Kluyveromyces lactis: one gene and its partner. The protein of the gene in region 2 interacts with the protein of the main gene of each other region in a pairwise test. Links are inferred from orthologs where the notes say so. Each region holds a gene or a part of one and is shown on either strand. Other genes may lie near its edges.

Region 1 (3,367 bases), on a different chromosome or scaffold from region 2:
AATAAATCTAATAAATATGTGAGCATCCCCGGCGTTTTGCGCAGAGAAGCTATAATGCTTCTACGTTACTTTTATGTTAGAGAAAATGATAGGGCACCCAAACCACGAACAAAGAAAGATAGAAAACTGGATAAAGAGACCTTCCCTCCACTACAATGGGATAAGTATTTAACGCTCGAAGAGTTTGAAGATGAATTTGGCCAGGAGTTTAGAGATGCATTTTATTCGCATAGAGACGTCTACGATGAAATTGATTGGGATCTCATAGATACTGGCTGCGATGAAAGTTTTTTGCATGACCTGATTGAACAGGTGCAGAGTGTTAATTGTACTTATTGAGTTTGACACAATTAAACAATTCCAAGTTTTAGTGATGCTCACAACATGATGGATGTACTCTCTTTCTGGTTTTCGTTTTTTTTTTCATTGCATAAAGATAGCTAGATAGTCATAAATACTGAAACAAAAGTACAAACTTATTAATCGATGTCTCTACGTAATTGTTACGAAGCCTTTGTAGTGTTTTGAAACACAGTGAGAGGCTTCAAAAAAAAATCCAGCCGTCAGGCGCTTTCGAGACGTTCTTCGATCTTCGACCACTTCTCCACCATATCATCATAAAAATCAATATGTTTTTGAGCCAAAGCAGCTAACGAATCTTTCAATTCCAAAGTTTTTATTTGTTCAAACTGTTCGACCTCTTTGAGAACCTCTTTCTCAAATTCATCAGCGACTTGTTTTGATTTTTCGACTTCGTCCGTTAAAGATTGAACTCTGGTCTCTAATTTCGCTATCTTATCTCTTCTTGCCATTTCTTGATTGATACCAGCTAGTTCTTCCAGTTTACTCTTGAAATAATTTCCTGACCCATAGCCAGAAAGTAAATTATTCTTCTCATTTATGGATCGCGTTAGATACTCTGATAGCTCCTCGTAATCTATTTGTTTTTGATCTTTCAGCCTTATTAGTTGTTTCAATGCCTCGATATAGTTTATCATATCTTTAATATCAACGTTATACTCATAGTCAACGTATTTGTTCAAATCATTTAATGAATCTATCAATTGCATCGTTCCATCGTTAAAGGCTTTGATACTGTTTGATAGCTCCTTTTCATCGCAGCAAAGTTCTTGTAATCCTGATAAAGAGGATTGTAATTTCTTCAAATTCTGTCCGATCAGATCAACTCTTTTCACAGATTTATGGAATAGCTTGTCCAAATGGCTCAAATTATGGTCTAACTTTTCGCTCTTTTCCTTAATCTCGACAAACTCATCCCTTTGTCTGTTTACGTGTTTGAAAGCGTTTATCAAAACATCACTAACTTCAGAAGTGGAAATTTGCCCCGTCAAACTCCTTCTATAAACATCCCAATCTGTGCTGGTCAAAAACGTTTCCAAAATCCTGGATTTGGAAAGCTCTGAGTGACTCAACAACCTGCGCATGAACGTTTGAAGAGAACGACAACGTTTCTGAGTAAAAGAATGTGAGAATCTATCCCCTGAAAGATAATTTAGGACTTTCTTATCGGGTAATGGAGGAACAAGCAGTGCAGGATGATCGTTTATCAATATTTGATGTAGGAGTACAAAATCATTGTACCTCCTCACCACACAATTCGGTTCATCTTTGCCATCTATTTTCGTGGATACTTGATAGGTGATATATGTCTGCGAATGCGTTTTCTGTTTCTGAGGATCAGACACCAGCACACTTAATATTTTAGTATCTGATTCTTTATTTGTCAAAGTTCCTGATTCACTCATATTGCATGAGATATTATTCGTATTGCTGGCGTCAGTATATGACGGCTTCTTGTACAGTGTTTTACCTTCTATTTAGTGATCCCTTTTCTATCATATGAAGTTCTTCTGGTTTACTGTGTTTCCAACTATTTTTTTTTATTTTTAAGGTAACAACTCAATATAAGGTATAAGGATAGTTTAAGTTCTTTATAACCATGAACTATTCGGTCGAAATGTTTTCACGGTGCTAGTTGGTCCAACACATTGGAGTGCTAAGCTTTGGAGAACTATAATGTTAATTTACGGTTACGTTCTCTATAAATGAGTATTTAGAAAGATTCTTTTTCTATTTTATGTATCAATTTCGTCTATTAAGTCCCATACAATATCACTTGCGATCTGCTCATTGTAGATATCATTCAGAGTTTTGATATCTACATCTTTCGGTAGAAACTTGAGTTCCATGGCTTCTGTTATGATCGATGCAGTGCCTCCCTGGAATGAACTCAAAGTGGCATAATAACCTAGCCTGTTGTTGTTTACGTATTTATTTCTTATTTCGATCCCCTTCGTGACATTACGTTTATTCCAATGATGCAAATAAAACTTCTCATTGTACTGCAATTCGCTGAACGGAGGTAAGAATGGTGTAAGGCCTTCGAAAGCTATTCCATGGGAAACACCATTTACGAAAACTTCGAAGCTCGAGTTTTCAAGTTCGTAAAACTTTTGCATGTCGTCCCTGTTGTCATAATATTCCGGTTTTGTAGTTTTGACATAATCGGTACTTTCGTAAAACAATTGATTTTTATATCTGATGGCAATTTGATCTCTAACTACATTCGTTGGCTCGCATGAACGCAGTAAAAACTTGTAGAATTCCTTATTGAATTTCTTATTCCTTTTGTTGGTGCGGCTGTCGTCGTTGTTTAGCTCTTGGATTCGTTTTAAACTATAATCCATGGCTTGCTCGCTTTGAGACTGCAGGGAAGGTAAAGTCAGTAGAAATCCGATTCTATCACCTGCTTGCATCTCGTGTGGTTTCAAAACTGTATGCAAGCGGCCTTCGTGAATAACTTGCAATCCTTTATCTCTAATGCTATAACCGTAAAAATCACATCCGACTGGAGTTTCTGTTGATGCCTCTCTTCTGCTTATCCCGCATCTGATGTGTGATGTATCAGAAACGTTTTTCACCTCCACTTCCCAGTATATTTTTCCTTCTTTCATACAAACGTCGCTTCTAACGCTCCTCCACCCGCAGTTCTCGCTGACACTCACCGAATGGTCGTCCAATGAAAATGCTAATTTGTCGGATCTATCCATCAAATTGATAGAGCTTTTATCAAAATAGTCTGTGCCACAATACTTGAGCTTATCCAACATTAGATTTGCAGCACAAGGCTGATACATGAAGTTTCTCTTATTCAATGGCGTGTCCTCAGTGATATAGTACTGTTGTTCATTAATGCGATGAGATTCACTCAATTGCGGAAAATCTGGTTTTTTAATGTCAGAACCGAGATCTACTATATCATAGTCAAGGTATGGTATCACTGGAACACTCATTGAAGATGTCCCGTTTCTTTGTACACTCCTTACAAGCTTGGAGAGTTGTGTTT
Region 2 (3,765 bases):
GCAGCCGCCTCACACTGATTCAAAGCGGTATCAATCCCGACAATCTCATATAAGGTGGTAAACTTTTTCCATGATTCAATCTCAGACCTACTTCCACTGAATTGGATAATATCGGTTAGGATGGGTAAGTTATTTTGAGCAAGTAATTGGAGACTCAACTTCATGATAGAGAGCACAATTTTCTTGATTTCATGAACCTCCTGGTTTAGTCCGGATTGTATTAAATTCCAGTAATCTTTTGATTGGGCGAAACTTTGACTTGTTGTTGAGAATCCATCCTCCATTAACATCCTTAAACAAAAGATATAGCCATTTTTTGCAACTGTGATTGGTGCGCTTTCGGTAAGCAAGTTACGTAAAAGAGACCATACGGTTATATCTAGTTTCTCATCCTCTTTGCAGGCTGTAGCGAACGATGGGATCCACCATTTGAACAAAGAAGTCGCCGCATTTGAAAGTTTCTCATCCTTCGATAACGAAAGTAAAAAGAGTAGCTTTCCAATGTTGACACTGTTGGCGATGAGGTCGTTATATGATCCTGAAGCGGACCCTTGAACCAACACTTCAAGAATGTCTAGCAGTTTTGTTCCATCTAAGATCAATCCGTCATCGAGCGAGTTAACTTGAATAAACCCAGATATTCTAATCAGTTGTTGACATTCAACATCAAATAGCATTGTTATATGCGAAAGGATGAATGAGCTCAAATGGGAACTTAGAAAATCATGCATAAATTTATTGCTTTGCTTTAGCTTGGGACAAAGCTTAAGCAATGCAATTAGTTGTTGATCTTTTTCAACTCGCAAACCATCGTCATCATTGACATGTTTAGCGATTACTTCTCCAAGAGTGATAGATAGTCTATTGCCAGTGTTAATGGAGACATCTTCTGTTAGTTCAACCGAACTTAGCACCGAACTAATACCTTCATAATCTTCAGTTTCAATGAGTGAGGAAAGAATCTCTTCTTGTACTGAGGGCGAGATATACCTACCCAAGATTTGCCTTGAGTGGCTCATTATCTGATATAAAAATCCTTACGTTGAAATCAGGTTCTAAAACTATATACATTCCCATAACATGTAATTAAGTTTATCTGGTCTCATCGCATCTCATCTGGTCAGATCGATTTAACTAACCGTAATGGTATAAATGATTTTTCAAGATGCATGTTGATGATGAACAATTGGGCTGCGCCAGAAAAACTTTGGGCCCCGAAACACGTATTAGAAATCGAGAAGACTGTTACCCGAACATGGCAGTTAAGTTACAACTTGTTGACATGTAAAACGCCCCTTATGAATTGACACGAACTTCAATATGAGTAGATAAAGGGTTGAATTAGGAGCATATGAAGAGCTATTTAGTGACCTTATGCAGATAAATTTTGAACCAATGCCGAATTCAGTAACGCATTTAGAAAATAACAGTCCTTCAAGACTTAAAAACAATAAGACTGTTGAGGAGCATAAGGAGCATGAACCTGATTTACAGACGCAGAGCGAGATGAGAAGGGAAAGCAACGGATCTCCCAAAGACACTGCAGTCACGAACCAGAACGGTGATCAACCTCATGAGAATGTAATACATACCCAGATTATCAAAAAGGACAACCCATTTTTCAACTATATGCAGGATAACGTGGACGGAAGTGATGAGAATGGAAAGAATGATGACGATGATGAGAATGCCAAAAACGCCGGAAGTGATGATAACGAGGACCAGCTTCTTCAGCCAAACAGAAGAAAAAATAGTAAGGAACGGCGTAGGAGCTCAGTAGCTACGAGTAAGGATAGTTCGCCAGATGTGCCATATAATACCTTAAACCATAACGCGAGCGGGATGACAAAAGAAGGTAAGAAAAGGGCCCAAATACTCGAGGCAAGTAAAGTATCCGAAGGACAGGGAAGAACATATATCGCTTACGCTATCAAATATGGTGATTCAATTGTGAAGCGGCGTTACAGCGATTTTGAGAGTTTGCGGAAAGTGTTAGTTAAGTTATTTCCAATAAGTTTGATCCCGCCAATTCCTGAAAAGCAATCACTCAAGAGTTACGGAAAAGCAATGACATATTCTAAATCAAGTTACCTATTACCAACGGAAAGCGGAGACTCAGTAGATCTTTCGCTATCAGTAATTAACGGACCGGTTACCACGAATGATGAGAAGCTCATACGGCACAGAATCAGGATGCTTACAAGTTTCTTGAACAGACTCTTGAAAAACCAGGAAATAACAAAGACTTCTATCGTGTACGACTTTTTGGATCCGAACAATAAAAATTGGAACGATCTAATCACAAGCTCTCTTACTATCTCATCATTACCGAAAAGTGTTCTTCAGTGCAATCCAATAGACCCTACAAACACTACAAAAGCACATTCATATTTGCCAGTACCGTCATCATCAACACAACTGCTGGCATCAAAGGACAATCATTCAGCTTCGGACGCTGATGAGTTCACTAAAATTGAAGCGGAATTCAAAAATTACGAACAATTGATACATTCTGGTTTGTATAAATACTCAAGAGCTACTACCAAGGAGGTGAACTATTTACGGGAAGATTTGAAAGGAATCAGCTCTGAGTTTGCACAATTGTCAACTGACGAAACAAAGAACGAGAGTGGACTAGCAGAATTACTTTCACACTCCAGTGATGCATATGGGACTCTGCAAGAAATTCTGGAAACTCTTGTCGGAAATTTGCATTACAACATTAATGAGCCTCTTAGTGAATGTGCCCACATGGCCACTGCTGTGCGGGATTTAATTCATTATAGAAGGTTAAAGTTGATCCAAAAAGATATCTTAGAAAGGACAATACTTTACAAGCGAGGTCAACTCATCAAGTTCCAACAGCAAGAAAACGACCACAAGCAAATAGACAATATGGTAAAGGAAGAGCTTGGTACAAATGGAGCAGTGAATCTAGAAAACCCTGCAGGACCACAAAGCTACTCTGGAAAATTCATAAATAAGTTTACCCAACTTGCAATCATAATTAAGGACTCTGTCAGTTATCAGGAACAAGATCCTGCAGCAGCTGCAAGATCCTTAGAGAAAGAGTTGATACAACTAGATGAAACATTGAAAGTTGCTACTAGTGATCTCGTCGTTATTTCTGAAACTCTAAAGAATACTGAATTACCAAACTTCATTAAAGAACGTGACGAAGAATTGACTCAAATCTTTAAGAATTATGCGAAATATATGAAGGAGAATGCCACTAGAAATCTTGAAATATGGAAAGAGCTACATAATCGCATTCAGGAAGCATAATCAGCTTTTGAATTAACAGATTTTTTTGAATATATACATTTTACATATATGAATTCCACCCTCCCGCGTTTAGATTCTCAACAAGAGCGGCATTAAGGAACGGATATTCATAAACGGCAAAAGTTTTATAGGAAGGGGGATAAATATTTGAACATCTGATACCATTGCCAATCCAATTCTCTTAGAGCTAATTTGAAATTCGTCCTCATCGAGTATCCCTGAACACCTTGTCTATTATGAAAGATAGCACTGAAAACAGTTTTAGCCGTCGTCATATCCTGGTGCGGTTTAGAATTAAGAGCTTTACCAAAAATCAAAAGTAAGCAGCGAACTCGGCCGTTGCTGATCAAAAAATTCTTCTTATATTGCTCTTTCAACGTCTGTTCAATCAGTTGGAGTAATTGAAACTTCGTTGCTTGTATGGCACCATAAGAAGACTTATTTTCCGTAGTGTATAAGCCTTCCGTTGAAGCAATGTCA

The links.
Region 1: the proteins of ATG20 (region 2) and SNX4 interact in binary tests that used the Saccharomyces cerevisiae proteins (3 or more experiments, as listed by UniProt). The link is inferred for Kluyveromyces lactis from reciprocal best matches to the Saccharomyces cerevisiae genes ATG20 and SNX4.

Annotation. Positions count from the first base shown.
Region 1 is NC_006039.1:941,711-945,077, reverse strand, and holds SNX4 (Snx4p), read right to left. Parts: upstream 1,767-3,367; coding exon 564-1,766; downstream 1-563. Other genes in the region: TAD2 (tRNA(adenine34) deaminase), read left to right, coding at 1-339; BRE2 (Bre2p), read right to left, coding at 2,097-3,314. UniProt on the Saccharomyces cerevisiae protein: Sorting nexin, involved in the separation or division of vacuoles throughout the entire life cycle of the cells.
Region 2 is NC_006041.1:817,349-821,113, reverse strand, and holds ATG20 (Atg20p), read left to right. Parts: upstream 1-1,374; coding exon 1,375-3,285; downstream 3,286-3,765. Other genes in the region: TRM3 (tRNA (guanosine(18)-2'-O)-methyltransferase), read right to left, coding at 1-1,019; KLLA0_E09153g (short-chain dehydrogenase/reductase), read right to left, coding at 3,411-3,765. UniProt on the Saccharomyces cerevisiae protein: Required for cytoplasm to vacuole transport (Cvt), pexophagy and mitophagy. Also involved in endoplasmic reticulum-specific autophagic process and is essential for the survival of cells subjected to severe ER stress.